Linked DNA regions of Mus musculus. The protein of the gene in region 2 interacts with the protein of the main gene of each other region in a pairwise test. Links are inferred from orthologs where the notes say so. Each region holds a gene or a part of one and is shown on either strand. Other genes may lie near its edges.

The links. The genes of interacting proteins can lie anywhere in the genome.
Region 1: the proteins of Sufu (region 2) and Rcn3 interact in binary tests that used the Homo sapiens proteins (3 or more experiments, as listed by UniProt). The two-hybrid records come from large-scale screens. The link is inferred for Mus musculus from reciprocal best matches to the Homo sapiens genes SUFU and RCN3.

Annotation. Positions count from the first base shown.
Region 1 is NC_000073.6:45,085,814-45,089,213, reverse strand, and holds part of Rcn3 (reticulocalbin-3 precursor), read left to right. Parts: intron 1-513; coding exon 514-716; intron 717-2,376; coding exon 2,377-2,549; intron 2,550-3,400. UniProt on the Homo sapiens protein: Probable molecular chaperone assisting protein biosynthesis and transport in the endoplasmic reticulum.
Region 2 is NC_000085.6:46,398,851-46,404,629, reverse strand, and holds part of Sufu (suppressor of fused homolog), read right to left. Parts: intron 3,507-5,779; coding exon 3,372-3,506; intron 1-3,371. UniProt on the Homo sapiens protein: Negative regulator in the hedgehog/smoothened signaling pathway. Down-regulates GLI1-mediated transactivation of target genes. Down-regulates GLI2-mediated transactivation of target genes. Part of a corepressor complex that acts on DNA-bound GLI1.

The sequences.
Region 1 (3,400 bases), on a different chromosome or scaffold from region 2:
TCTAAGTACACTGTAGCTGTCTTCAGACACACCAGAAGAGGGTGTCAGATCTCATTGCAGATGGTTGTGAACCACCATGTGGAAATTGAAGGAACTCAGGACCCCTGGAAGAGTAGTTAGTGCTCTTAACCACTGAGCCCTATCTCCAGCCTTCTTTTTCTTTTTTTGTGTGGGTATTTTTCATGTGTGTCCATTAACCATTAACATGTCTTGTGCCCACAAGGGCCAAAAGAGGATAATGGGTTCCTGCATCTAGAGTTAGAGATGCTTGTGACCTGCCTCGTGGGGCTCATGGGAATCAAACCCAGGTTCCTACAAGAGCAGCCAGGGTTCTTAACCGCTGAGCCATCACCAAGTCCCCATTTTTGTCTTATATAGGTACAAGGGTAACTCTATATATGACAGGGAGGGGCCTAGGTGGGCGGGGTCAGGGTTGAGATTGACTGCGTCTCTAACTGTAGGGGCAGGGCCTCATTGGGCAGAGCCAGAGACTGACATTCATTCCCCTCGCAGGCGGATCGTAGACCGCATGGATCTTGCTGGGGACAGCGACGGCTGGGTGTCCTTAGCTGAGCTCCGCGCGTGGATCGCGCACACACAGCAGCGGCACATCCGTGACTCGGTGAGCGCAGCCTGGCACACCTACGACACGGACCGCGACGGGCGCGTGGGTTGGGAGGAGTTGCGCAATGCCACCTATGGCCATTATGAGCCCGGTATGCCCACCTCGCCTTTGCCCTTTGACCTCGCTTTTAGGATCTTATCCCTGATACCTTCCCTCCATTTCAAATGTCATTTGCTCTTCCTTCTGAAATCCAATCTATGTGACAAGTTGACTGGAGACTTCACATTCGTGGCAGGAATACTTAATGTTTAACCCTGTTATCCAGACCCATATGTGGCACTGGTGTCTTAGCTAGGGTTAATATTGCTATGATGAGACACTGTGACCAAAAGCAAGTGGGAGAGGAAAGGGTTTGCTTGGCTTACGCTTCTACGTCTGCGGTCCATCACTGAAGAATTCCCTATAGCACTGGTTCCCCACCAGTGGGTCACAACCCCTTTGTGAGATACTGTGTCAGAGATACTGTGTTTCAGATAGTTACACTACAAGTCATAACAGTAGCAAAGTTATAGTTATGAAGTAGCAACACAATAATTTTATGGGGGTCACCAGAACTTACTGGGCTGTATTAGAGGGTAGCAGCATTAGGAAAGAGACCATAACAGCCTTACCTATGGCCCAGTCTTAGGGAAGCGTCCTCTCAGTTGGGGTTCCCTCCTCTCAGATGACCCTGACCTCTGTCAAGTTGACATAAAATTAGCCAGCACACCTGGTTAGCAGTCTTCCTCAGTCTCAGCACTTGAGAGGTGGAGGCAGGGGGATAGCCCAGAGCTCAAGGATAGGCATAGCACAGGTGACTCTGTCCATCCTCCAGGGACCTTAGGAGACAGACATCTACCTCATTATTAGTCTCTCCCACCTTCAGTGTTGTGTTGATAGGGTTTCTACCCCAAAACTTTCTTCTGTGGAGTCCAGATCTCCTCAGTTCCTCAGTTCTCTGCACTTTACATATGCTGTTCCTCCTCCGGAGAAAAGCCCTTCCCTGCTGTCTGTCATGGAGTCAGAGCCAGTCACTTACTGTATCAGAAAAGAGCTTCGGGGCTAACCAGGCCAGTGTCCACTCCCAGTCAATGTCATTGTACATTCAGAAGAGTGGACAAATGGAAAAGGCCATGATCTGGCTTTGTGTGAGGATCAAGTGGAACATTGTAGGTGACAGGACAGAAAGCAGACTGGGGAGTGGGGATGGTGCAGCTCCCCTTTAATCTCAGCACGTGGAGGGAGAGGCAGGCAGGTCTCAGTGAACTAACGGGCTACCCAGTGAGCTCCATGTTAGTCTGGGCTACATAGTGAAACCCCATCATAAAAACAAAAGATTGTAGATGAAGACTATTGAGGACATTCTCAGGGCTGCGGAGTTAGTCTGTGACGCCACTGACTGTGTCATAGCCGATACAGGAAACTGAGTATATTACACATGAAAATTATTATTCTACATCTCTAGGGACTGAACCCAGAGATAGGAAAGGCTGAGCCACACCCCAGCCCCTCACTGGGGGATTCTAGGCAGGGGCTCCCTGCTGGGCTGACAGTCTTGCTTAGTTACCCAGGCTGACCTTGAACTTGCAATTCCCTTGCTTCAGTCTTTTAAGTATCGTGAATGACAGACCTGCCCACACACCCATGATGTGGCTGACACATGTCCCTTCTTACACTCTGTGGCAGTCCTTCCACTAGCTGGGTCCTTCTGTTTCCTAAGTCCCAGATCTCGCCTCTGTGACCACACATTCACCCACATCTGCCCTCCCCAGGAGAGGAGTTTCATGATGTGGAGGATGCCGAGACCTACAAGAAGATGCTGGCTCGGGATGAGCGGCGATTCCGGGTAGCCGACCAAGATGGCGACTCCATGGCTACTCGGGAAGAGCTGACGGCCTTTCTGCATCCGGAGGAGTTCCCTCACATGCGGGACATCGTGGTAGCAGTGAGTAACATTGTGCAGAACATGTTTCCCAAACCTGTCCTGGGTCCCAGCATCCTTCACAAGGATTCCGGGCCCCCACCATGTCTAGTCCCCATCCAGTGCCTGGCACCTCTTTATCAGACCTTCCTGTGTTCCATTAGGTGTCCAATCTCCAGCCTGTCCCCAGGCAACCATATCCTAAGAAGAGACTCATGTGAACACCAATTGTGTCCAGGCCCAGGAGAACACAGTTTATTTGAAATGCACATGTAACACGCTGTGATCTAATCATATCTCAGATACCAGACATGGAATGTACTTACTGGAAAGATGGCTGGGCGTGCAGGTGCTGTAGAGGCCACAAGAGGGCGCTGAACCACCTGGACCTGGAGCTACAGGTGGTCATGAGCTGCCCACTGGGTGCTGGGAACTGCACTCAGGCCCTCTGTGAGATAGCACATACTCTTCACCGCTGGGCCATGGCTCCACTTCTGGTTGCTATTTGTTCCTTGAAACTGGGTATTGACCAGGATGTGGGGCTTGCTGGTCAGATTAGCCTGGCTGACCAGCTCTCCCAAGGCATCCTCCTGTCTCTGCCTCCCCGGCTCTGGGATTATAAGTGTGTCCCACTAGCCCATCTTATGCAGGTGTTGAGTAATGCAATTCAGGTCTTCATGCCTATGTGGTAGCTACAGGGATCTTGTATGTTTGCTTTGTCTCTTGGGGTCCACTGCTAATCGTGATGAGCATTGAGCTCTTGAACTTGAGGAAGTGGAGTCTGTCTGTTTGTCTGTCTGTCTATCTATCTATCTATCTATCTATCTATCTATCTATCCATCTATCTGGGTTTCTGAGGCAGGGTTTCTCTGTGT
Region 2 (5,779 bases):
GAATGCTTGCCGCCAAGAAGAGCTCAGTCCAGTTCCCACCACTCACATCAGATGGCTCACAACTACCTGTAATGCCAGCTCTAGGGATCCAACTGCCTCTTCTAGCCTCCACGTGTGTGTGCGTGCGTGTGTGGATGCATGCGCGCGCGCACACACACACACACACACACACATACAAATCTTTCTTTTTCTTTCTCTTTCTCTTTCTCTCTCTCTTTCTTTTTTTTTTTTTTTTTCTTGAGAAAGGGTCTCTTTATATAGCTCTGGCTGTCCTGGAACTAACTATATAGACCAGGCTGGCCTCCTGGATGCTGGAAATAAAAGTATGTGCCACTACATGTTGGACACTTTCTTAATTATTAATTAACCCAGGAGGGCCCAGCATTTTGTGGGTGGTACTACCTTGGCCTGGTGGAGCCAGGTGCTAGAAGAGAGCAGGCAGAACAAGTCAGGAGGAGCAAGCACTCCTCCATGGCCTCTGCATCAGTTCCTGCCTGGTTTTAAGTTCCTGCGTTGGCTTCCCTCAGAAACTAGGATTCAGGATATATAAGCCAAATGAACCCTGTCCTCCCAAGTGCTCTTGGTCATGGGGTCTCATTGCATTGTAACCCTGACTAAGACAGTATATGAGGATGAATATACGCACTGTGTCAAGAGTATGGAGATGAGAGATCAACCGTGGGGCTGGTTCTCTGCCCCACTGGGTTCTGGGGAATAAACTCAGGTCGTCATCAGCCTTGGAGCAAGGGCCTTTACCTACAAAACCATTGCGCTGGCATTGAGTTGTTTAGTGCACTTCCTGCTCTCCCAGCATCAGGTGGCTCACAACCGCTGGGAACTTCAGCTCCAGCCGACCTAGCTCAGCCTTGACTACAGTGAGCTCTAGGCCAGCCTTAGCCACAGAGCGAGAGCCTGTCTCCAAAACCCAAAGAGAACACATGGCACAGACTTTACTTTCTCCACTGTAAATACTGTAGGGCAAAGCTCCCACTCAGGCGAGACTGAGTCTGCCCCCAAGGCTTCTGCTGGCCATTTGGAAGGACTGAAGGCAGACAGTAGACACTACACCCCATGTGCTAGGAAAGACAGGAGGCCTGGCCTCGGACACTAACAACAGACAGAGAGAGCTAGCCTGGGCCTGTGGGCAAAGGGTTGGTATGGTATGGTGCAGTGACCTAAGAGTGCAAACTCTGGACTCAGTCTAAGAAAATCCCAGTTCCTTTATAGCCTAGATTCAAGGCTTAAGTAACTCAGTTTCCTCATCGATAAGACAGCAACAAACAACAAGATAACGAGGGAGACCTCTTACACTACCCTTCTATCTGGGAGGTGGTACTTAGCCTAGGCCAGTTGAAAAAGTAGCAAGGCTCAGCCAGGTGACAGTGTCACAGGCCTTTAATCCCAGGTGGATCTCTGTGAATTTGAGGCTAGCTTGGTCTACGGAGTGAGCTCCAGAAGAGAGAGGGCTACACAGAGAAACCTGTCTCAAAATCACAAACAAAAAAGTCGCAAGGCTCCTCTTGTCCTGACTCGGTAGAGACTGTCTTTGGAGATGGTTGTATGTTAATGAAAGCGATCATAGTTTTCTTCCCAGTTTGTTGTAGTTCTTCATAGCTTCCATGTTGCTGTGTTAATAAATATTTTCACATAGTGATTCCAGGCGTGTCAGGACTACATACTAAGAACTTGCCTTTAAAAACCCTAGACTATAGGCTATTTATCTGAAGCTATAGCTCCATGACACAGCATTTACCTACTATGCCTGAGGACCTGGATTTGATCCTGAAGGAGTCTGACCTACGGAGCCAGCCTGTCTACATGGAAATCCTGTCTCTGAATCAATCACCCAATCAATCAATCAATCTTGGCCCTCATACTGCTCAGAAAAGATATTGTGTTATAGAGGCTCTTTATGTTTTCACATTACTAAGTGGGGCAAATATTATCACCTAGTAGATTCAAAGTGTTATGCAGAAAATTAAATTCATTACTGTCACACATATATAAATGGCTACAAGAGTACCTGGTGCATAATCAGCGATTAAAAAATGTTGTTAGCTTTTATAATTATTCTAATTGTAATTTTGGAGGATTAAATACAAAGTTAATTATATTCTACTTGATATCAAAATGTGTGTTGGAATTAAAACATATATTAGTTGATTATAAAGAGAAATTAGGGAGTAAGAAAAATTTTAATTTTCTATTATTTTATGTGTCTGGGTGTCTTGGCTGAATGCATGTCTGTGTGCCTATTGCTTATGTCTACTGCCTACAGAGGTCAGAAGAGGACACTGGATCTTCTGGAACTAGAGTTAAAAGACAGTTGTGGGGGCTGGTGAGATGGCTCAGTGGTTAAGAGCACCGACTGTTCTTCCGAAGGTCCCGAGTTCAAATCCCAGCAACCACATAGTGGCTCACAACCATCCGTAACGAAATCTAATGCCCTCTTCTGGAGTGTCTGAAGACAGCTACAGTGTACTTACATATAATAAATAAATCTTAAAAAAAAAAAAAAAAGACAGTTGTGAGCTGCCCTGTGGGTGCTAGGAATTGAACCTGGGTCCTCTGGAAGAGCAGCCAGTGCTCTTAACCACTTGAGCCATGGCTAAGCCATCTTTCTATCCCTGAGAGGGTGTCTTAGTCAAGTTTCTATTCCTGCACAAACATCATGACCAAGAAGCAAATTGGGGAGGAAAGGGTTTATTTGGCTTACACTTCCATACTGTTGTTCATCACCAAGGAAGTCAGGACTGGAACTCAAGCAGGTCAGGAAGCAGGAGCTGATGCAGAGGCCATGGAGGGATATTCTTTACTGGCTTGCTTCCCCTGGCTTGCTCAGCCTGCTCTCTTATAGAACCAAGACTACCAGCCCAGAGATGGTCCCACCCACAAGGGGCCTTTCCCCCTTGATCACTAATTGAGAAAATGCCTTACAGTTGGATCTCACGGAGGCACTTCCTCAGCTGAAGCTCCTTTCTCTGTGCTGTGTCAAGCTGACACAAAACTAGCCAGTACAGAGGGGTAAGAGGCACAGGGCAGAGAATAGCAGACTGGGGCTAAACATGTGAAGTGGGCAACCCAAGCACGATGAATACAAGTCTGGCAGCACACATCTGCAACCCTGTCACTCGGGAGGATGGAGAGTTCAAGACCAGCATAAGCAATTCCATAAGCCGCCCCTCCACCACAAATTCAACACCAGCTTGGCCTACATCTCGAGTTCCAGGCTGTCCAGCACAGGCAGAAGGTGGAACCAGAGAGGTGACACTGGAAAGTGTCACTCCCACAGAACCAACATCATCACACACACTCAATACAACTTCAGAAATAGGCTTAGGGTTAAGGAAAGGCAGATGGCAGACACTCACTCATGGACTCTGTTGTCACCATAGAGATCACTCAGGCCAAAGCTGATGTAGTGCCAGTGCTCAGGGATGTTGGCAGAAGGACTCCCCATGTTCCTGTACATGCTAACATAGTCCAAGGGGTCCGGACCACCCAACCTGCAAAAGACAAAACACAAGGTGTCAACATAAGCCTGGAAACCAGGAAAAAGCAACTAAGAGGCTCTGTTCTACAAGCCCGAGAGCCCCGTGCTAGGGGAAGCTAGAGTGAGATACCTAAAGGGAGGCACAAAAGGTCTCTGTAGAGATGAGCCAAGGGAAAAGCAGCCGAGGCTGTGTGGCTGGCTCCACGTGTGCAAGATGCTCCCTTCTCTTCCCTCCAACAGGCAGGGCCTCTTTTAGAAAGAAAACAGACGTGGTGGTTGCCCGTTTTGCTTTTGCCTGTTTCAAGTTCTGACTCCAAATGGAGTGAATCTCTCTATGTCAACATGCCAGGCTTCAAGGTAAGGGACATCAGTCAATCAGTAGCTCCTGTTGAATGACTGTCCAGAGCATGCCCAGTGGATATCATTCCTGAAAGTTCAGGTTCCACTCTGCACCTGACTCTTAGACAGCTAGTTTCTAAAAAACTGTACTGTGCCTTCTATCATTGTTTCGTCTGGATATACATAAAGCTGCCAGTCTGCACAGATCGTGGCCTATACGCCACAGATCAAAACTTAGTCGCTGCAAGTGACGAAGGCCAAACATTGGCTCAATCAACTCTGCACAGAGCACTGCAGCGAGAGCCAGGCTGAGCCCCATGAGCACCTACATTCTAAAGAGTAAGCCGGGAGGCACTGGGCTCAAAGGAAGAGCTGGGACATCTCACGATTTGAGGCTCCTAAGGATCACATTAAATTTCCCCATAAATCCAGCAGAGAAGTAGTTGAAGATTGAATTCAACAAAAGCTCTTTTAGCAATTAGTGTTTAAGAAAACCAAAACAAACAGCAACAACTAAAACCTGCGTTCCCTCGGAATGGACAGGAAAACAGCAGACTTGTAAAGCACACTAAATGAAACCCCTCAGCAGAAGAAAGTGTGCAGCGAGCCCATAAACTCGGCATTTGAGCCGCCTCACGTGGACCACTCCACAGACCACAGAGTGGAGTTGGCCTTTGCCTGCCCCTGGAACATGGACAGGAGTGCACTCTGCAAGTGGGCTAAACTACTGAGGGAAAGCTAACGACCAAATAAAAGACATAGTACAAGAGATCCCAGCAAGTGTGCCAGGACCATGCAATTCAAACCCTATTTTAAAACCAGTAAGTCTGGTTTCATCCTCTTTGCCAGGATGTTACTAGCCTTTGTTAAAATCCTTATTCTTGGGGGAGGGGGGAGGCTAAGTTATTTATAGAAGTCATAAGAAAGAAAGTCACTAAAATAGCTTAGGATCTGCCCAAGGGAGTTAGGTAAAGGGACAAATCTCTATGTCTTTAACTGTGATTTCACCAAATCATTTGACTAAACCCATAACCAGCTGGATTTAGAAATGGTTTTGGGATGGATAGAGGAAAGAAAGGGACCCCATTAAGGCTGTAGAACCCTAAAAAAGAAAGATTCCATATTCTCCCCCAACTTCTGCTGCCAATCTCCCACAGCCCTTGATGTGGCCTAGGTCCGTCCAGCAACAAGCAGTCGCACTGTGCTTTCTGTCCTTTGCCCGACTGCTGGCACACTGCAGCTCCCGCAGACAGCCTCCCAAGAGAGGGCACATCGAGAAGAGGCTTTAAGAAGTGTCACAGAATGGCTATGAATCAAGCAAAGTTAGCCATATACTCAGTCAGATGGATGGGGGAAAAAATCAGATTTTACACTTAGGAAGAGATGCGGTCCAAGGGCCCAGGGGATCCCTTACCTTAATTCCCAGAACACTTTCTTTCTTTCTCTCTATAGGGTAGTTAGTTGCAGGACAAGACACCAGGCTCTGCCTCCCTACTTTGATTCTGTCTTGCTCGGCTATCTCAACTATCAAACAGCCAGAGTTTTCCTGGTGGTCAGGGACCACTAGCTAAAATGCTACCCCTCAAACCCCCAAAGAAAGCCCATAACCAGACCCAAGCAGTTTAGTCAGTCATACTGCTGTGAGAACTGAAGGGGCTGGTAAGATCCTACACATGAGGGATAGGAATAAACTTCAGTATCTCAATTCTGCAACTCCCTTTGAGTCTTAGAAAGAACCAGTTCCTAAGCTGGTTCCTCTTAGATTCCTGCATCTAGGTAGCATTTCTTACTTCACAAAGTGTTGTACATGCCTTTTCATTTGTTACCACATTCTGGTCTACTTCTGGGGATACAGCCTCACTGAAAGCTTATAACAGAAAGAAAATAGTATAACTACCCTTGGTCTTTGCTTCCATACCTCTAACAGGCAACTCTGTCTTGATGACC